Linked DNA regions of Rhinolophus ferrumequinum. The protein of the gene in region 2 interacts with the protein of the main gene of each other region in a pairwise test. Links are inferred from orthologs where the notes say so. Each region holds a gene or a part of one and is shown on either strand. Other genes may lie near its edges.

Region 1 (7,260 bases), on a different chromosome or scaffold from region 2:
CTATACTATTTTAGGCAGATGGCCCTAAGAAGAAAGACCTTGCTTTAACAGCATTTGTTTAGGAAATGTTTTGTAAAGATTTTGTGGGGTATAATTCCAGTGTCTTCATGTCTTAAATAACATAAGGCTCTATAAGTTGTACACGTGACTACCTTTTTCCAAGTCAAAGAAATACTTAAGTATAATAGTAGTGGCTCTGACAATTACTAAATTTAACTTACAAGTTTTAAAGAATAAACACCAGAGGGAAAAATAGAAATGAGTTGTTAAACTCTTAGGGTTCAGGTTTCATGGTTCTGTTAATTCTGAATCCTGAGTTTGAGTTATTTTTTAGAGAAACAATCCAACTGTTCCCAGCATATACTCTATCCAGTGTATATTGCAAGGGTGGCCATGTGTTCAGAAGATGGAGAATAGTCCTTTGCAATATGGCGGTTCTGTCAGGCAAATCAAAGTCTGAATTCAATTATACTGAAGTCGTTTGAGTTGTTTAGTTTTTAAAGGCTTTTCTATCAATTTGAGGAACCAAGTTCCTTTTTTTCATAAATGTAACATTTCTTCATAACAGTTCATTTTTTTTATTGGTCTTTATTTCTCATCCTTTCTACCCATCTCACTGGACAAGCAACTCAGTTTACTTTTGCAACTCAGCAATATTTTGAGTCTTATAAAATTTTAATCCTTCTTCATTATAGAAACTATTTTTCCACCAATACAGACCATTTGAGATTTTCTTAAAAACAAACCGAATTAAATAAACATAACAGCAATTTCTTTAAGCACATTTGTTCAAGTTTCACTTCCCCCCAGCCCCAAGGAACTACAGGACAACCCATTTTTTTATTCACCTTTACATTAAGCAACTTTGTTAAAAAACAAAAAGGGAGGACTACTGGCAAAGATAGAGGGCATTTGTTATCTTCTAATGAGTTTGCAAGCAAAATCATGCGAGCAAACATAGGTTGCTGGAGAACAATACATCCTTCAGATCGAGCTGTGCTACTTGCTACTCTATAGCAAGCAAACTCCACTAAAAGATACATAGTGGCATGCGATCTAAACTAAGGTCATAGATTAGGATACTGTTCAAACATTAGCCCCATTCATATTTATTAATAGTGTCACAAATCTAGTGAGCAAAACTACCAGTCTTGGAACCAGAATAATTCTACACAAACTTAACCAGCAGAAATTATGAATCACTGAAATAAACGCAACCAAAATTTTGACTGCCCAGTCCCCTGGAACAATTTTATATTGGTGAGAGTGTTAAGAACATAAATGTTGGATTATTTCCTCCTCCTTTTACAGTGAAAGGTTTTATCTTTTTGCTAAATGTATGGTACAGTTTACATGTACATGCTTCACTCACTTACGAAATATATTAATTTGCAAATACTTCCAAAAAATTGGTAAACACATAGTTAGTAAGTCAATTTTTGTTACTTTCCTTTAGCGAAAGGGGGTCTCATCTGAAACGTTTAAGTGATCCCGTAATAATGGTAAGAATCGTGTTGGACAATGGCAATAGCTAATTTCCATGCTTCCTTTCATATGCATCTTCTATTGAGAAAAGACTGTAGTAAAGTGAGATAATACTTGCTGAAGTTATAGAGGGACATTGAAGAGGAAATGGGAATTTATAGATTAGCAGATCTATGGTATGTACCAAGACGCACTGCTGATAGGTCAAAATATTTTTAATTCTCCTTCTAAAAATGTAATATATTAGTGATCTGCATAGGTGTAACTTAAAAAAGAAAAACCCACAGTAAACCATGTATGCCTATTTAAAACCCCCACAATACAATCCACTGCAACACTGCACATTCAGGGAAGACAGTCAAGTACTTACAGCACAAAACAATTGTTTCCACTCACTTTAAAAAATTCCCTAGTAATAACATTTAGTTAATTTCCTGAAGTTTGATAGCATGTATGCAGGTCTTTGGAGGGTTAAAATTTTGTTTTTTAAGTAGCAGAGTTGCTAATGATTTTAGATGCTGAAGCATCTGTATTCCTGAATTTGTCCACATTTGTAACAAGGGAGGGGGCCGAGAACATTGAAGACTGCCAACTTCTTTAATGCATTAGTCGGATAAGTATCTTCCGAAAAGTTTGGGATCTAAAAATCTCTTCTGAAATCCACAAAGAGAGGGCACTAAAAATCAGTTGCCATTGTGATTTGGTACTGACTACAGCTTCTTACTCCTCTTTCTTCAAACCCCTTGCCCAGAACAGTGGAGCTCTCCGAAGTCCCAATGCTGGACCGGAAAACAGAAGCCAAAGGAGATCTCAAACCCTCTGTGCAAGGCAGGAGGCGGCTCGACGGAAGCGCCCCCCGCTCTTCGGCAACTACCCACACGTCAGGCCCGGAACCCACTGGGAGAGAATATTTAGGAAAAGAGAAATAAGCCGTTGCCGTCACTTCGCGCGGATACCGGCCCTTCCCGCCGGGATCTCGATCGCGTACCTGCCGCCGGCCCTTGCCCACCCCCAGCTCTGCCTGGCAGGGATCGTCCCCCGAAAGGGCACCCTCGCCTCCTTGCCGCTTCTCATTCCGACAGGCGCCAGGGCCTCTTGTAGGAGAGGCAGCGGAGCTCGAGGGGCTTTCTACAGGCCCCAAGTCCGGTCCTTCCCTCCCCAACAACATCCCACCTAGCGCGCCCTGGACCCCGGGCGCGGCGCTCGGGAAGAGGGCCCCAGGCCTGCCTCCCTACGAGGCCGAGAAGAAAAGGGAGGGAAAGAAGGGCGAAGATGGGGCCGGCCCTGGAGCCAAGTACCTTGTAGAAAGCGCCATTGGAGCCCCGCACTTCTACCACCAGCTCCTCCATCTTCTCGACAGCCCTGCTGGCGCCGGGAGCCCGCCCCCGAGAGGTGGGCTGCGGGCGCTCGAGGCCCAGCCGCCGCGCTACCGCACGCCCCCCGGTAGCGGCGCCGCGGTCACTGCCTCCGCCTGCGCTCGCCGTCGGCTCAACGCCCGCTCCGAGGCGGCCCTTCACCGGAAGTGAAACCGAAACGGAGCCGAGCGCCTGACTGAGGCCGAACGCTCCAGCCGCTCCGCGTGTAAACAGTGAAACCGCATCACGTGACCGACGCCGCCCCTCCCCCCGCGGGTTCGGCCCCTCGGCCCCGCCCTCTCTCCCTCCGCGCGGGCCCTGGAGCGCACGCATGCGCGCAGCTCCTACTCGGCTGAGGGGCCGGGCCCAACGTAAGGCGCGCGGGCTTGGCGTGCGCAGACTTAGAGGAGGGCGGGAAGGCGGGAAGGGCGGCGACAGGTCGTACCTGCTGGCGGAGGTCAGGCCGCCTGGTGTCGCCAGGCGAGGGCTAGAGTGCCCATCCCTGTAGACCTGCAAGGGGAGGCGTGGGAAAGGGCCTCCCGTAAAGATCAAGTGCATTCATTTATCTGAGTCCTGGCTGGCTGGGTGTGGAGGGTTTTTGTTTTGGTTTGTTTCTGTTTAAGTGGGGCAGAGCCTGGTTGAGGTGGAGCTGGAGTGGGGCACAAGAATAAAGGTGAAGAATTAGATTGAAGAAGACAAGACTTTGAACTAGTAACAGTGGCAACCACTGCGACCCCGGCCTGTGTGACCCTTAGAGGCAGAAGGTGAGAGTAACGCCGCTCCCTCCCCCAAGACATTTTGGGCTTTCCTGTGGATACATCCTGTGTCCTCCGAGAGGCGATGCAATTGTGTCCGGACCTCTGGAAACGTTAGTCCTGCCTCAGAGCCAGCACTGATCCATGCGCTTCCCTTCCCTCCATTCAGTTTCATAGCTTTACTTGACATATGTAAAAAATGTGTTACACACTTGTTAATTTAGTTACTTAGTTTCCCTACTATTTCACTTACGCCTACCCTGCACCAGAGGGTGTAATGGGCGTGTGGATGGCAGTCACGTACATCGACAGGGGCTCAGGCACCTGTTTCCTTGCAGCCCTCACCCTTCACCCTCCACAGAAGAGCAAACCCCAACTCGTTCTCATCCTTGCCTCTGCAGCCTGCTGTATCCACCTTGACCTAGGTTTCATTTTGAAGGCTTGTATCCAACGGAGAAGTTGCTTGAGCCCATCCTACTGCCAGGCACTGGGCTAAGTGCTAGTGAGACCTTGGTGAAGAAAACAAGGAAACAGACTGTCAGCATTGAACTTGGACCCCCGAGGCCTAGCTGGACATAAAGCAAACGATCAGAAGAGTTCATATGGAGTTGCAACTGTGATAAGGGCTATGCAGCATAGGTACACCTATGACAGTGAGACAGGGCCCAGTCTGGGGTTGGGGAGGGCTGGTCAGAGCTGGGAAGTGACTCCGGTTGGAATGTGACCAGTGAGAGTTCACTGACAGCACTGAGTTGGTGGAGGCGGGGTGAACTGCCCCAGGCTGGTGCCCCAGAACGAGAGGCATCCTTGGGCCTCCAGTTCCCTTCCCACCCCGTTCCTAGCCAGAGCAGCAGTGTTAACTGCTGGGGGAGCTCCAGCTTTAAAGCAGCGGACCAAGGGTCACATTCCTTGAGGCCACCGTAAACAGGAATGCCCCACTGGACTCCGGTTTCTGGAGTAGTCACAAGATGTGAAGACCCCAATAGAGCTGAAAGAAAATCTCACCATAGGCTGGCTGGGAGCACAGCGTGATCTTTAACCCCCATGGAATAGAAGGGGATTGATGAGAACCATAATACCTTCCACGTGTAGGCTGTCGTTCACTGTACCCAGGGCTTTCAAATATCATCGCTCCTCACGACCAGGACAAGGCGCACTCAACCGGATGCCATTCCCTGAACCTCCGATGCACTTTCATGCCTTCGGTCTCTTCACACTCTGCCTGCCCCCCAGAAATTCCCTTCTCCTGAGGGTTATCAGCTGGATTCCTATTAGATAGTTATTTTACCCTAGATGCCATGTTGAATTAACTTTGCTCCTCAATTCTCAGCACGTTGTCACCGTCAGTCCCTGCAAGACCCCTCCCTTAACTATATTATTTTATATTTATTTTTCCTTGACTTTCTCAATCCCCATGCACACTCTTTTTCTAGACACTAACTACAGTATGTTTGCTATAGATCCTTGATAATTTAAGACATGTAGTGTTTTGTGTATGCCTTTTACAATTAGAGATGGTATTGGACCATACATCTGTTTCCCGCTGTTTGCACTTAACACCACATTCTTAAGCTAACCCATATTGCTGCACGTACACCTGTATTTTGGCTTCCAACTGCTGCTGAGTATTCCATCGATTTTACTGATACATTTCCCTAGCGATGGGTGTCTAGGTTACTGCCAACTGCCTGATGTTACGCTGGTGAAAACCCTTGTGCATGTCTTTGCGATCCTTTGCAAGAATTTATTTTGTGCTCTTATAGAACTTTATTCACAGCCCCTGCTTCTTCACCATACCGCTTGGCATAGAGCAGGGCTTCAGTAAGTGTTGAATAGCTGGACTATGATGCCTAATGTACTAGAATCATTTACTTGTACTTCCTTTTCCCTCCTTGGACTGTGAGTTCCTTCCATTCAGGAAAGATGTCTTTCTTACCTTTGCGTCTCTGGCACATACAAAGTGGTTGAGTTTTAGGAAATCTTCACTGAATCAACATGCCTATCCTTCCTCCCAGGATGTACTGTGACTTAGTCTTGTCCGCTTAAATTCGGGTTTCAGCCTCAGCCTCAGCCTTGCTCTGACCTCTAGCTCTTGAAATGGCCCCTTTCAAGACAGCTCAGCTGAATTCAAACATGGGCTCAAGCCTGCTTGTGAGTCTGCTCCTCCCCTACTCTCTCTCAATCACTGGCAACCCCGTCCTCGAGTTAGTTGCTCAGGCCTAAAACTGACTCACTCTGACCCTCTCTTTCTCTCGCACATCGAATCTATCAGCAAATACTTTCGGAGTCCACACTCTATTATTGCTCACCGGTTGCACTGCTAAAACCATGGCATGAGCGACCATCTTCTCTTACATGTATTATGACACCAACTTGTCTGGTCTCCCCGCAGCCACTCTTATCCATTATTCTCAAGGCAGAAGAGAGGGTGACCCTATTCAGGTGTCAGTCAAGTCACTCTGCCACTCAAAACCCTCCACTTGTTCGCTAAAGGCCTTAGGGTAAAAGTCAAAATCCTTATTTATTCTGGCCTCCCTGCCCTACACACTCCGACCTCTATTATCTCCTTTATCTCACCTTTTCCCTCCCTCCTTCATTCCATTCCAGGCATTCTGGCTTCTTTGCTGTTTCTTGAAAACACAAAACCACCAGGCAGGTTCTGTCTCCTGTCACTAGGACTGGAGCTCAGAGATTTTTCTTTCTTTCTTTCACTACTTGTCCCTGGTGCCTCCTACCATGTTTGGAACCCAGTAGGTGCCCACTCAATATTTATTGAATGAATATATGTTGAGGATCCAGCTTGGGTCAAGTCTGCTGCCACGCCTCTATTTCTGCTTCAGCACTTGGAGGCTCAAGGCCTTGCCTTGGCCCCTAGCTTCCATTAAATCCCTGCCTGTCTTTGCATTGATTTCTTCTGTGTTGTTTCCTGCTCCTTTGCAAGTTGAGCCCTCTGAGTCTTTTTCATGCCTCAATGCCAGCTGAAATGCCCTGTCCTTTCTAACTCTAGAAATCCTATGTACCCTCTAGGACCCAGCTAAGGCTTCACTTCTTTCATGACACCTTTTCTGACAGTTTCACCGCACTTTGATTTCTCCTTTGAACTAGCTGTTAGAAAAAAAAATTGTCTTTATGTTTTAGATTTACAGGAAAATTGAAAAGCTAGTTTAGCGTTCCCATAACAGTTCCATGATACCTCCCTCTGAGCTTCCTCTGTTACTAATGTCTTGCATTACTGTGCTGTGTTTTGTATCATTGGGGAGCCAACATCGATACACTGTTATTAACTACCGTGTTTTTCCAAAAATAAGACCAGGTCTTATATTAAGGTTTGCTCCAAAAGACACAGTAGGGCTTATGTTCAGGGGATGTCATCCTGAAAAATCATATTGGGGCTTATTTTTCAGTGAGGGCTTATTTTCAGGGAAACACGGTAAAGTCCATAGTTTACATTAAGTTTCACTCTTTGTGTTGTACACTATATAGGTTTGGACAAATGCATGATGTCATGCATCCACCGTTATAGGGTCATACAGCATCGTTCCATCACCCTAAAAATCCTCTGTGTTCCACCGATTTAGTCATTAGCTCTACCCCCTCATCCCTGGCAACCACTGACTTTGTACTGTCTGCACATTTGCCTTTTCCTGAATGTCGTATAGTTGGAA
Region 2 (7,326 bases):
TTGCCCACTCTGGATAAAAATCCAGCAGCCCCATGACTTTCTGCTCCCTCCTCTGTCACACGCAGTCGTAGTGGCACTTGAAGGCATAGTCCCCATTCAGTAATTAAATGTATGATTCAATATATTAATCAAAAAGTCACACTGAGTTTAGCCAGCATCAAAATCTTCTCCCCTCCCCAGCTTGGGCCTCTTGCGCTGGAAGCCTTCTCTTGGACAGGAGGAATGAGGGGCCTCTTCTCCCCACCCACACCTCCTCCCTGAGCTGCTGGTTTGGACGCTAGGGCAGCATAAGACAGCTCCCATTTGAGTTGATGTCACAGTGAGAGCTAACTGCAGGCTCTGGAGCGGATAGAGCTTAGAGCTGTCTTTCCCTCTCTCCCTCTCCCTTTCAGGAATCTGAGCTTCTGTATTTCTGGAGTTTCCCATTATGGAGCCCTTGCCCCTGAAGTTCTCACAACCAGGCTGAGAACCTCTCTATTCCGAGGGGGGGGGATCCTCCCCTAAGCCCTGGTGGGCCACCTCCAAGGTCTCTCAAAGGAGGTCTCCTCACCCACGCAGCTGGCTTTCGCAGGCAGCATCTAGGTGACTCCTTGGTGGCTTTGGCTTCCTGCTGGCCCACATCCACATCCTGGGAAGCAGGCCCCTGCAAACTCTGGGATGCAGATGTCCCAATGTGGCCACCTCCGCTGGTTCTGCCACCTAAGCAGCCAATCTTGTGCCTCAGGCCACCACTGGCCCACCTGCAGGAAAGACAGCAACCTCTCAGACAGGTCCCTCTGAAGACCCCTCACTGAGCTGGGGGTAGTGTGGGACTTCCAAACCTCCCCCAAGTCCAACAACAGCTCTCTCCAAAGAAATCGCACCACTAGTTTCCCTTCCAAACATCCTCTTTTTATTTTCTGATCCCTTATTTTCTTCATTCAGCTGAGAGCATGAATCAGGCTCTGGATCATTTCCTTTCAAAGTCTGCATATGGTGATTTGATCTCAGAATTTTATATCTGTTGTTTTTTGGGCCCTCAATTAAAACCTCATTTTTAAGATACTATTACTACAGGGCACCCAGGAAGTAAAAATTTAGAAGCAAAATAAAATGTCTAAAGCAAAAAGACTTGAAAGAAAAAATTATGCAAAGATGTGTATACAAGAATGTTCATCACAGTATTGTCTACAGAGGCCGAAAATTGAAATAAATCTATGTCCATCATGGCTAATTCACTATATTAAATCACAATATGGTCAATTCAATATTGGAAGTTATTAAGAATGATGTAGATGCCGCTTTTTTAAATGTGGAAATGCCCACAATATACTTGTAAGTAGAAAAAGAGTATGCAACATATCATTACAGTATAATCATGTATGTACGAGAACGTATGTGGGAGGGTTTATTGCTTTTGAGTTATTTTACTTTTTTTTTATATCTTTGATAGTGTCTGTTTTCATAACAATTATATGTACCTTTTAATAATTTTTAAAAATCTTCCTTTTTTATGGTAAAATAATATATGGTATTTGGCTTAGAAACAAGCAAATACTACAAAAGTGAATATAAACCAGTCGTGCATCCGGGTAACAATTATTTGGTTTGTCTATTTTCCCGTTTTTTTTTTTCTCTAAGAATTTACAAACTTATCCCCCTCTCATACACACAAATTAGAAAATTTATAATTAGAAAGTTTGCTACCTTCATTTTGAAAAAGGAAATGAATTAGAAAAACTACTAAATTAGAAAAACTACTACAAAGGATAAAATATAAAACATCCAGTTAAAAGACATGCTATAAATATTTTAAAAGGTATTTAAACAGACTACTAGAGAATTATAAGTAAATCATATTAGCTAAATATATGCAGTAAAAAATAGTCTGAGGAAAAATAAATCACTTCAGCTGAATGGTTCTCTCTCCAAGAGGGACTGAGTCAGCGAGAGCAGCTGTTCTGAGTCCAAGGCCCACAGTCCCACACAGGTATGAAACTGGGGGGGACCTTCAGACAGATGCAACTTTAGACCTAGATGCCTTGGGATCACCTTCAAGGGTGAGACATGCCTTGACCATAGTTCCAGCCGGGTCCTGTTTTGTTTTGTGGGTATTTGTTGTTGTTTTACCTTGGGCATAACAGCAAGTGCAAATCTCATTCAGGCTGTCCCAGCTCACAAACTGTGAAAAGCTCCCTCACTGGTTCCTGACTCGAGACCGCACAGCCTTGTTTTGGTGAGAGGCTCCTCGTGGCTCCCTGGGCATCTCCTCTACCCCCCACCCCCTTACCCCACTCAGGGCACTCACAGGATGGGCGCTAGCAGAAGGTACACACCTGGGCACAGAGCAGGGCTGTCTTGTTCCCCGTTGTGAACAGGTCCAGCTCCACGTTCCGCTCCATCCTCACACGGCAAACTAGATTTCCCGATTTCCTTAAACAGGTCTTCAGTAGTCAAGGGGTCTTGGTTAGCTGGAGTGTCTCTGTATCATGTGAAGTTTCTTTTCTGGGTGGGTATCAGTTTTCTTATTTCTAAAATGAAGTCAGCAGATAGGTTTTAATTAAATATGCTTTGAGGACTGTTATCTTTTTGTATGGCCCCCCTCTCCGTCCCTGCCCCGCCCCCAAACAGGCACACAGCAGACCCTCCAAAAAGCTTGTTGAATTGACAATAAATGTGTGGCTCGTAGCCAGTGCTTGCGCTTTGAAGGTCTCAATACATAACTTCTGTTTAATTTAATGTTTGCTCTCTCCAACAAGTGTGTACCTTCCTTGAGAGCAGGAACCATGAATTCACTAGGGCCCTGACGACAGAAGTTATCAGCTGGGGCCCGATTCTCAAGAGCTCACAGTAACTTGTTTCACAAATACCTTTCCCACGTCAGTAAGTACAAAGGTATTAAAGGTGAGGCAAGAGTGGGAATTCCAGGACTCCAGGGGACTTTGCGACAGTGATTGACTCCCAGGGCTGGGTCCCAGGCAGACCTTTGGCCTTTTCATTGGTTGTCGCGGACCCTCCCTCTGTCACCCGGCCAATCCCGGAAGCCTCTGGAAGCCTCCAGCGCCGGCCGCCAATCAAAAGTGCCGGAGGGGCGGTCGTGGGGCACTGACGCGATGACGGTCCAGCGAAAAATGTCGCGGCGTGGACGGTCCTGTAGCGGGGGCTGTGAGGAGGCCAGGCCCCGGCGAGCCGAGCCCTCCGGCCGCTGACCGCCGGTGCCATGGAGGACGAGCAGCCCGACAGCCTGGAGGGCTGGGTGCCGGTCCGCGAGGACCTCTTCGCCGAGCCCGAGCGGCACCAGCTGCGCTTCCTCGTGGCCTGGAACGACAAGGAGGGCAAGTTCGCGGTGACCTGTCACGACCGCACGGCGCAGCGGCGTCGGCGGCGGCGCGAGGGGAGCCGGCAGGGGTCCCCACCTGAGCCCGAGCCTGAGCCCGAGCCCGAGCCCGCGCCCCCGCCCAGCTGGGCGGGCCTGCTCTCGGCCGCCGGGCTCCAAGGCGCGCACCGGCAGCTGGCGGCGCTGTGGCCGCCGCTGGAGCGCTGCTTCCCGCCGCTGCCGCCGGAGTTGGAGGCAGGCGGCGGCGGGGCCTGGGGCCTGTGGGCGTTGGTGTGGCCCGCGCGTGCGAGCCCCGGCGAGGCGGCCCTGCAGGAGCTGTGCGTGCGGCTGGAGCGCTACCTGGGCCAGGCGGCCGACGGCTGCGGCGCCGCGGCCGTGCGTGATGCGCTCCTTCCGGCCGACGGCGGCGCGCCCGACTGCGAGAGCCCGCGCGCCTTCCGGGAGCGCGCCCTGCGCGCGCGGTGGGCCGAGGCGGGCGCGCGGCTGCAGCAGGTATGCGCGCCGGCCCCCTGCCACCTCTCCCTTTAGTGTCCGGGCCATCAGAGGGGCTCAAGGGCGAGAGTGGGGTTTTTCAACCAGGCTCGCGCTGTGGAGGAGCAAGTTCTCAGTCTGAGGTGGAGAAGGGGGCGCAGGGTCCCAGGTGTCCTTCACCTGCAGAGGGCAGCCAGGGGTATGCTGCGGGGACGCGCGGAAGGCGCAGAGAGAGAACGAGTTAGAGTAAATCGGAGCAATTGGGAGCCAGAGTGGACCTTAACTCCTTTCACTGACAATATTGGCAGAGCAGGCTGTTATATCGGAAAAGAGGCCATTCTTACTCTGGATGAGTTTTCAGTGCATTCTTTTGAGGAACAGGAGGCATAAGAGAAGAATTCAGTAGAGGGGTGGAAACAGAATAACTTAAGGATGTATTGATTGAAAAAAAAATTCTATACTATTGATTTTATTTCTCTTCTCCTGGGGATAATTCTTACCAAACGAGTTTATCATTATCACTATGAGTTGTTTATCATAAATGCTCAGTATCAGAAGTGCTTTGCAGAGACTAGAGTCACTGCTGTGACTGTAAATGAGTCTACTCTGCTGGGGGTTTCATGGCGCTATAAACCTTGGGAATTGAGGGAGTCTACGTGACGGCATACTTGGACGCAACTCTGTAACGTCCTCGTGAGATTTAAAAACGGAGTACAGCCTCGCAAAACTAGTCATCGAAAAGTGATGAAAAAGTATCATCCACAATCTACAATCCAGAGATAACCACTGTTAATATTTGATGACTTGCGCGCCCTTTTCTCTGTACGAAGTTGAGATAAAATTTTGAATTCTGCTTTCCCCCAATGTATTCAAGTTTACAACATGAGGGTTTCTTTTGTTTAGTTTTGTTCGTTTGGTGTGGTCTCCTAAATACTGTCCAAACTCGAGCCTTATTTACATTTTTGCCTTCCAGATTCTTCAAGGGCATGAAAAAGCAAGCACCATGGTAGCATTAATGGAAGTTTATCGAGAAGAAGATGAAGTGTACCAGGAATTAGTTACCATGGCAACCATGTTCTTCCAGTATTTACTGCAGCCCTTTAGAGATATGCGAGAAGTTGCGACTTCATGTAAGCTTGATATTTTGGTATGTTTGCTTTATGTCTTTATTTTATCAGATTTACTGTTTGTCACATATTACTTCTTTAGTCACATTTAAGATTCAATCTCTGCCCATTGGGTTCACCCTTAATGTTTAGATGATGTTGTAGATATGTTCATTTTATTTTTAAAAATTGATAAGAAATGAAGACGTTTTACATTGGTCATCTTCTTACTACATTAAGATTTCCACAGATTTTCAAAGGTTAAACACGTTCTTTGCTGACGATTTGTTTTTGATGTGATGCTTATTATTTTCCACCTCTAAGGACACATGCATATTTCTTAGAAATAAGATAAAATGTTAAATAGCAAGGCTCTGAATTGTAATTCGGTAATTTAAACTTTAGTAAATGCATCTAATTTCACTGAGCCATGGAACAACCCTGTGACACTAATTAAAACAGGCATTCTCATCCAGTATTAAAAATGACGCTAGAGCCCAGAGGGCTTCAATAGCTTTCCTTGGTCTCACTCCACAGTAATCAGAAGACAGAGAGATCGCTTGATCTCTGTCCCCTGCCCTGGGCCATCCTTCCCCACATGTACTCACAGCCCCCACGAGTCCACTGTACTGTAAAAATGGCATTGTGTTTAGATGAAACTCCTGCCACTCTAATCTGTGGAGAAAGTTGTTCTATTGATTATTTTGAAAGTCTTATTTGAATAATCTTTAGTTTCTGAATATATATTTTCTTTCCTTAAATAACAGTTTTATTGAGATATAATTCACAGACCATACAATTCACCAATTTAAAGTGCACAATTCAGTGGGTTTTAGTATAGTCAGAATTGTGCAACCATCACCACCATCTAATGCCAGAATATTTTCATCAGCCCAAAAAGAAACTCCATACCCATTAGCAGTCATTCCCCATTCCCCATTCCCCCGCACCCCCAGGTAACTACCAGGCTACTTTCTTGCATCTGCGGATTTCCCTATTCTGGATATTTCATGTTGTATGGACTCATACAATATGTGGTCCTTTGTGTCTGGCTCCTTTCATGTAGCATGCTTTCAAGGTCCATGCATGTTATAGTAGGTATCTGACTTTCATGTCTTTGTACTGCCAAGTATTCACTATATGGATACAGTACATTTTACTTATCCACTTAGCAGTTGATGGACATTTGGGTTGTTTCCTCTTTTTTGGCCATTATGAATAATGCTGCTATGAACATTTGTGTACACGTTTCTATGTGGACATATGTTTTCATTTCTCTTGGATATATACCTACGAGTGGAATTGCTTAGGTCATAAGGTAACTAACTCTATGCTTAAACTTTTAAACGAACTGCCAGACTGTTCTCCAAAGCAAAAGCCCAACTTGACATTCCCACCAGCAGTAAAGGAGGGTTCCAGTTTGTCCACATCATCACTAACACTTGTTATTCTGTCTTTTTGATGACAGCCATGTGAGTGGATGTGAAGGGGTACCTCACTATAGTTTGGATTTACATTTCCCTAATAGTGAACCCGGGTATATGTCTTATATTACTAGCTTTGCAGAAGAACTGGATGCTGGATGAGCTGTATTCATTCTCAGTAAGGAATTGCTGAGTTAATGAAATTTTATTGACTTAAGTAGTAGTAATAAAAGTAGTTGAAATAATCCACTTGACCAGTTTGCTTCCAATTTCCTAATGGCTGTACATTACCATTCTTTCTTCCTCAAACAATTTTCCCTTCTTTCTATAGAAATCCTTGGATGAAGATGACCTAGGTCCTAAAAGGATAGTGGCCTTGCAGAAGGAAGCCCAAGAATGGACTAGACGGGCTGAAGAAGCTATAGTCTCTATTCAGGATATTACTGTGAATTATTTTAGAGAAACAGTGAAAGCATTAGCAGGTAATAATTTAAAATACTGCAGCACTAAGGTACATGTAATTTTCATTTTATTCAAAAATCATTTGACTGTCTCTTTAGTACCAGGCACTAACTAGGTCCTGGGGATTCAGTGTAAAGATAATCAGAAACAGACACTGTCCAGTCTGTTGAGGGGAGATAATCTTCGTTACACATTCACACAAACACACAGGGAAATGGCAGTGGCAACAAGCCCCATGAGAAGAGAAACACGGGGCTCTGAGAGCCTGAGAGAGAAATGAGGCTCCATCAGAGTGGCCCCTGAGAAGTGGCATTTGCCCTGATGTCTGAAGCGTAAATAGAAGTTGAGAGAGCAAGAAGGTGAGGGAAGAGTGTTCCAGGCAGAACGAATAGCATTTACAGAGCCCTCTGGCTTGAGGGAGCTTGGCAAATGTGAGAAACTTAGAGAAAGGCGCAGGACTGGAGCAGAGTGTAGAGAATCGGGCGGGGGTGACGGGGGCAGTGCAGGCAAGACAGGAGGACGAGATGGGGGCGCCGTGTGGGCTGGG
Region 3 (7,763 bases), on a different chromosome or scaffold from region 2:
AATTGTATTCAACAAAATGAAATGGTAATAACAGATATCTTTTTTTTTTTAAATGGCTGCACCCTTCACACAGTCACTCACTTTTTTTTAAAGATTTTATTGGGGAAGGGGAACAGGCCTTTTTTCGAAGTCAAGTTGTTGTCCTTTCAATCTTAGTTGTGGAGGGTGCCATTCAGCTTCAAGTTGTCTTTTCAGTCTTAGTTGTAGAAGGTGCAGCTCAGCTCCAGGTCCAGTTGCCATTGCTAGATGCAAGGGGTGAAGCCCACCATCCCTTTCCGGAGTCGAACCAGCAACCTTGTGGTTGAGAGGACACGCTCCAACCAACTGAGCCATCCAGGAGCTCAGCGGCAATTCAGCTCAAGATGCCCTGTTCAATTTTAGTTGCAGGGGGCGCTGCCTACCATCCCTTGCGGGAGTCGAGGAATTGAACTGGCAACCTTTGTGGTTGAGAGGATGTGCTCCAACCAACAATAGGAGCATGGAGCTCTAACCGCCTGAGCCACCGGGCCGGCCCAACAGATATCTTTTTGAAGGGACAACTTTCTGAAATTCTTACAGTGCTACAAATAACAATTTAATGTGCTTGCTAAAATTGTAAATTACCGATCCTTAATTAACTTTAAGACTAGGCAAACGAATAAGTTAACAAATAACTAATCTTTTGATGCTTGGACAATTTCTAAGTAAAAAGCAGATAAGAAAACCACATTGGTTACTAAATATAATTTGTTATTTATTACAATGGCAATGGATTAACAAAATATACAAATGTCTCTTGGTTATATGATATATATATATATATATATACACATATATATATATGAGGTATGATCAAAAACATGGTGAATGTTTACATAAAAAAATGATTAAAGTAAAAGACACATTGCCATTAATCCCCTTCAAAACACTCCCTCTTGCTTCGAACACACTTATGCCATCATTCTTGCCACTTTCTCAAGCTGTGCTAGAAGTCCTCTGGCAGTCGTGGCTGCCTCGATGTCCTGAATCGATTCAAAAAGTTTACCTTTCTTGGTCATTTTGACTCTGGGGAAGAGCCAGAAGTCACATAGTGCCAGATCTGGTGAATAAGGTGGATGAGGACACACTGTAATGTTTTTGACAGAAATTGCCGTGCCAACAGCAATGTGTGACATGGAGCGTTGTCATAATGGAGGATGAAACCGTTTGTCCACTTCATGTTAATACATTGTTTGTGATCCATGATTTATAGCACACTTTAAAACACACCTTCTCTCAACCGTAGCTCACACCTGATTGACTGCACCGAACAAGTTGAAACTTGTCACACACTGTTACTAAGGTTCCACGCACCGCTTCCCTTATTGGAGATCCCTGCCTTTCTGTTGAATGGCACTCGGCAGCAGCATTCACTGTATTTTTTAATCAAACCTTATATGTGTGCTTATTTTTACAACCTCAAAATTGTTAAAATAATATAAAACGCACATTAATAGAACAAAATCGCTAAGCAATTATAGTTTTCTGTCTTCTGATATTCTCTTTTGTTTGGAGAAGAAGATGGTTACTTGGTTAATATGATTATTTATATGACTGGTTGACTATATTAGGTGACAATAATTACAGAGAAATACAAGATTGTATGGAAGACAATCGATATAATTTTCTGTTTATTAAGAGTTGTTATTATTTATGAAGATGTTAAATTTAATATGATATCTACATTGTTTTATTTAATGTGTATATGTTAAGGCTATAGTTTAAATACTTTAAATATATTATTTGTATATTTATGTATTCATTCATGCCTAAATACACATGCATATAAAGGTATACTCATAAATTTTATATAGTAGGTAGTTATGTGAATAATGTACAAAAGAGTAAAATTAGAATTTGAGTCTTGTTTTCTGTAGAAGAATTCAATTATTATGTGCCCAAATTAGTAGAGGTTCCTTTATGTCACCAAAATATTTGGTAATTGTCAGTGCTAACATATTCTTAAATGACTTTGAAAAAATTCCTTCCTACTTTTGAAAAGATTTATTTTCTAATACCATTGCTGTATCTCGCTATGCTTTTACAGTATTGCCTAAAAATATTTCTTGTCTTTGGATACTTATAACTTAATATTCGTTTACTCTAACAACTACTCTTAATTTTGTTTTTTCTCAGTTTAGGACCCAGATTCAGAATAATGCCTAAATGCTCATCAGCTCTCCCAAAATGGCCATTGAGGAAAAAAAGAATTGCTCCTTTACACATGAAAGGTCAAGAAACATAATTAGATTTTTTTCATAATTCCTCAAATTTTAAAAAAATTATTATGAGAAATCATTATTTACAAGATGTAGGAAAAAACTAACAATGCAAAAAGACAGGTAAATTATACATAAACAAAATGTGTTAATATAAATCTTTCAATGATTGTAGTATACTTTTCAAGTTAAAAAGAAGCCAGTCTATCAAAATATTTTGTTTCCAGGATTCTAGATTCAAAAATCCTGTTTTGTTTTTGTTCATGAAAGGTCTGAAGACATGTACTGATTCTTCAGAGGTTTATTACTTAGTTAAGTCTTTCATTAGATCCAATAGCCAAAGTGCACCCATCTCATCTAAGAGCTGTAACAAACAGTGGCAAAACATTTGAAAGCTTCCACTGACTGTTCTAGAGTCTCCGCTGAAACTAATTGTTCCCCAAACCACGCAGAGGTTTTTATTGACAAGAAAGACTCCACACTTCTCAGCTGGCCGCCTAACCTCCTATAAAATACGGTTATTTCCCTTGCACACTACTGTCCATTACCACAACATTAAACCCAGTCACTCTCATTCCCTTACCAAATAGAAGGATAACCCCATCTCTGATTACCTCCTTAGGAAACTACCCATAATACAGCAGGTCCTCAAATGACATCGTTTCCTTCAGGGCCTTTTGGTTATAACGTTGATGAGAAAAAAAATGTATTTCGGTGAGGGCCACTGTCCGGGCGGAGTGTGTACTTCCTCCCACAGCCCAAAGACATGCAGGAGAGTATAGCTGGCTTGTCTTCATTGCCCCAGTCTGAGTAACAAATGTGAGATATACCTGTGTTAAGAAACATGAACAAAAGTATGGCAAACATTTCCCCACTCCTTGATATCAGTTCAGGGCGTGTGTGGTGGAAGCCATCCCTGCAGCTAACTCTGAGGACCCGGTGGGTAGGGCAGTCTTCTGTCAGAGGGCCCATACTTGCATCTACCCACACTCACACTGGTACAGTGTATACTCATCAGTGAACTCCACCAGCATACCTTTGGGACATGGGAGGAAACAAGAGTCGACAGATTCCCTGGGGAAAACTCATGCAGACATGGGGATGAGCTGCAAATATCACAATGGCCTGATTGGACTCCAATTTTTTATTTTTCCTCTCATCAACATTGTAAGAAAACAACGTTGAAAAAAAAAGTTGAGGACCTGCTGTGGGGACAGAGTCCCAGAGAGCAGTTTCCAGGCTCTCAGCCTCGCGTGGAAAGGTGGTGGCTCGGGTAGTAGATGGTCATCAGCTGTGACTGGTTGGCCATTGGCTGTAACCAGTTAGCCATTAGCCACCGATATAACTGCCATGGCTACGCTGGCAAGCGGGTGGGCTGGTTGGCAGAGAAGCGGACGGCAGGTTGCAGATCGTGTGGCTCCTGCTTCCTGTGTCTCCAACCCAGCCGCCAGCAAGAATATAGTGGGATGACTCCCCTCTCTATGGCTCCATTGGTGTTCCATTTTGGCCTCACCATGTCCTGCGTTCTCGTGCAGGGAGCGGGACCAGGGTCCCTGCATTACACCTGTTGTATATTGAATTTATAGCACTGTTTCCAGGACAGCAAGGATACCCTGGAGCCTTATGGATGCCAAAAAAAAAAAAAAAAAGTAATCCAAAAGTGTTCTGATTCAGACAGTTTGGGGTTCGAGTTCTCTAAATTTCCTATTGGCATATTGGAACAGAACCATTTAAATGTAGCCCTTTGGTGCCTGTGGGGGAGAAACAGGACGCAGGACGGAAAAAGTCACCATGTAAGGAATTGAAGGGGAAGGGCCCACATTTATGACATTTTGATGATTTGCTGGACCCTTTCACCTAATTCTCATACGAACTCCATGTTCTCCAAGACCCAATTGATGCTGTGAGAAGGTACATAGCTTGACCAAGTCCGGGATTGCTCTCCGCTGGACTCGGTCTTTTCCAAGATGCTAATCAGCCTCACACCAAAAACAACCCGAAACCTCGCTCTTCCAGAGGCCATTCGCTAGGCCTGGTTCGACCTAGGTGGGAAGGTAATCCTAGCGTCCTGCAAACCTTTTGCCAAGTTCCATCCCCAAAGCAGGGACGGCGAGCTTTCGGCCGCACTCAAAACGGGCGACGGGTCCCTCCGCGCGCGCTCCAGGAAAGGAAGCGCGGAACCTCTACGCAGGTGCGCGCGCACCTGTCGCTCGCGGAGCCCCAGGCAGCGGTGGGAGGGGCGGCGGGGCGGGGGATGAAGCACTTGCTCCGCGCGCCTGCGCCCGGCGATGTTTCCCGTACGTGCGTCGTACGTGGTGGCCGCGTCCCTGCGCTCCGAGGTGCGGGCCGGGAGTCGGGCCCGGGCCGGCTGGGAGTCTGGGAGGGGCGTTTTCCTGGGCGGTGGCGACGCCCCCTGGCGGCGGCCGCGCAGCGCGGGAGGCACGCAGTCAGGCGATCTCCGCGGGCAGCCTGCGGTGGGGCCTTGCTTCCTAGCGCGGGGTCCTCGGCGGCCTGGGTGGCTACTGCCCCTGCTGCTGGCGTAGGCGAGGACGGCTGCGAGTGCGGCTGCAGTTGGTTCGCGGCGGCGGCGACGGCGGCAGCGGAGGAGGAGGAGAACCAGGCGACAGGGGAAGAAGGAGGCAGGCGCGGCGGCGGCGGCGGCGGCGTCCGGGGCCGGCGGCGGAGAGGGGGGTGAAGATGGCGGACGTGCTCAGTGTCCTGCGACAGTACAACATCCAGAAGAAGGAGATTGTGGTGAAGGGAGACGAAGTGATCTTCGGCGAGTTCTCCTGGCCCAAGAATGTGAAGACCAACTATGTAGTTTGGGGGTGAGTCCGGCAGGGCTGTGGCCGGGCAGAGTCGGGCGCCCCCAGGCGACCTCTTTCCCGGCCCCTCCCCCCGGTCCCTTCGGGGATGGGGAAAACGGGGGCTCGGGGAAAAGTTTCTCTCTGGAGTGGAAGTTACACTTGTAGGTGAGGAGGGAGAGGTGGGAGCTGCGTCTGGAGTGGTCCATCCCATGAAGTCTTGGGGGAGCTGAAGGGAAAGGTCCTGGGGCAGTTTGTGAGTCGCCCGGTTCGTTTGTCGCGATGTGGACGGAGGGCTAGCACCGCGTATAGGTGCGTGAAGGAGGAGCGTCCCGTCCGTCCCCGGAGACGTGTCTTTTTGTTCTTGAGGGTTTTTTTTGTTGTTTGTTTTGTTTTGTTTTTTGTTTTGTCTCTTTCTCTGGCCAAGGCTGCCCTGTGTTGCTAACTAGCTCCGCTGACCCTTGCAGCTCCTGGTCTGTTTCTTCTCCTTTTGCGATTCCCTCGAGAAGATAGAAGGGCACCAACTCTGTGGAGTTAGGACGGGAAAGAGGTTTGGTCCCTTTGGACGAGTGATCCAAATACGTTGGAAGTGAAGGCAGGAGTTTCCTCAGGGACGAAGCCGCTGGGGAGATAGAGTGAGGTTTGCAGGTCTGAGTTAGAAATGGATGGGGTCTGTGATTTGGGGAAATGTGTTTTCAAGAGAAATGTTTGGGGACCTTGATCCACGTGCGGTGCCCTGAATTTAAGTCATTAAGAAAACATCGAGCCAGAGGTCTGATCATCGTTTGGGCCTTTTTAGTGATGGGTCTCTCATTGGTGGTGTTTTGTGGGGATACATAGGACCTTGGGCCAGAACGTCCATACTCTTTTTGTTTGATTGCATGGAAGTAGTGCGCTTTATGAAGGGTTGAAGAAAAACTAGGGGAAATTCAGGTGGTTGGTTGTTCTTTGTTTTTTGTTTTTCTGGCTTGAGGGCTTGGGATTTAATTAGCTTTATGGAATGTTAAAAATGACATCATTCCGATTTTCCTGTTTTGTCCATTCAGAAGGATTTGCAGACTGGATTACACTTTTAAACTGGAGTTTTAACTGTGTATTTTTTTTTTCCTTCAGTGGTTCAGGAGTACTCAGGGTGTTGGGCAGTCCAACCTGAGAAATGGAAACTTCTTAGGACGCTGGTCCCTGCCTCAAAGGAGGGTCAGCTAATCAGAAAAGAGGAGATGAAACCTGCTCTAGGTCTTAGGACAAGACCCCCAATACCCCTTCTAGCTTGGGGTATCGGGAAAGTTTTCATGGACGTATATTTGGCATGTAGACATGCGACCGATTTTTCTTGCATAAATGAATGAACAGGTAAATAAGCTTTAAAGAATGGGTAGGAATTCTGAGGTGAAATGGTGGATTAGGTCTTTAAAGACAAGAGAACTGTATTAAAAGGCACGCATGCTGGAAAGGAAATGTTTTGAGAGCAATTTAGTGAAAAAGGAGTGCTTAGAACAGTAGATTTCAAACTTTTACAGCAGTGAATCACACCAATAAATATGTCTTCTTTCATTATTAATGTTTGGGTGCGTATGTAAATCTGTACACGTTCATGACATTGAACAATACTTTATCGCATACAGTACATTCTGTTTGTTATTTTGCTTTTCTATATCATAAAAAACCCCTGGTTGTTACCCATATTTTAGATTTCATAGTGCAATAATTGACAGTGGTGTGTGGTTTGAAATACATAGATTTAGAGGACAAGTGGAAATAGAGGCTGGACAATGAGGTTTGGGGCTGATTACACTGGGCCATGTTCAAGTGAATTCAAATGCTTGGACATTTCTAGACGGGGAGAAGGTTGTAGGAGGGGTGGGGTTGGACACTAATGTTTGTTGAGCAAGTAGTAGTACGTTCCTGTGGTAAGTATCTTGCACCCCTAGACTACGTTGTTTTATCGCAGGTAGAATTCATTTTGGTTTTGGGTCATTGGTTTAATTTGAAGCATGTGATTAAGACTTATACCTCAGAAATTAATTGTTGTGTTCATTACTTAGGAGACGTAGACATAGGATAAATTTCTTGTAAGTTTAGCACCAGTAACAGTTGTGCTTCTTTTCTTCTTTTCAGTCTATTTTTCTATGAATCCTCTCTAGTGTGTTACCGATTAGGTTTCTCTATTGACAAAGTCCAGAACCTAATTTGGGCCAAATATTAAAAAGTATATATAATGTCTTAGAGTAGGAATGTGTGTGCTTTCCTTCTTGCTTTTTGCCATTGTCTACCTTTGTGTTCCTTTTGCCCTACCTAACCTAACGACGATTCCACTTTCTAGATTTCATACTTTGTATTTTTGTTAGCCATCTTAATTCCATTCTATTGTTGGATAGCAAAGTGGGTGTAGGTAAATTAAGACACATAAGTAAGCCCTACGAGTTGAAATAGAATTGTGAGTAAAACTCTTGCCATGATTCTTTCAGGACTGGAAAAGAAGGCCAGCCCAGAGAGTACTACACATTGGATTCTATTTTATTTTTACTTAATAATGTGCATCTTTCTCATCCTGTTTATGTCCGACGTGCAGCCGTAAGTAGAATTTATTTTAAAACTTTATTGATTTAATTGATGGTAGGTAGCATTTGACATGGATGATGTCCCTCATGGATTTCCGATGAAAAGCATGAAAGATTTGTATGAAAGTTTCCTGGAGGGTTGTGATTAGATTATTGTGGTT

The links. The genes of interacting proteins can lie anywhere in the genome.
Region 1: the proteins of FSD2 (region 2) and FMR1 interact in binary tests that used the Homo sapiens proteins (3 or more experiments, as listed by UniProt). The link is inferred for Rhinolophus ferrumequinum from reciprocal best matches to the Homo sapiens genes FSD2 and FMR1.
Region 3: the proteins of FSD2 (region 2) and CDC73 interact in binary tests that used the Homo sapiens proteins (3 or more experiments, as listed by UniProt). The two-hybrid records come from large-scale screens. The link is inferred for Rhinolophus ferrumequinum from reciprocal best matches to the Homo sapiens genes FSD2 and CDC73.

The regions. Positions count from the first base shown.
Region 1 is NC_046284.1:10,596,274-10,603,533, forward strand, and holds the start of FMR1 (fragile X messenger ribonucleoprotein 1), read right to left. Parts: upstream 3,078-7,260; 5' UTR 2,835-3,077; coding exon 2,784-2,834; intron 1-2,783.
Region 2 is NC_046311.1:2,941,533-2,948,858, reverse strand, and holds the start of FSD2 (fibronectin type III and SPRY domain-containing protein 2), read right to left. Parts: upstream 3,100-7,326; 5' UTR 2,964-3,099; intron 2,962-2,963; exon of another isoform or gene 2,850-2,961; intron 2,511-2,849; 5' UTR 2,316-2,510; intron 741-2,315; 5' UTR 551-740; intron 1-550. Other genes in the region: WHAMM (WASP homolog-associated protein with actin, membranes and microtubules), read left to right, coding at 3,200-3,808, 4,761-4,934, 6,649-6,799.
Region 3 is NC_046310.1:4,969,088-4,976,850, reverse strand, and holds the start of CDC73 (parafibromin), read left to right. Parts: upstream 1-4,686; 5' UTR 4,687-4,934; coding exon 4,935-5,065; intron 5,066-7,509; coding exon 7,510-7,615; intron 7,616-7,763.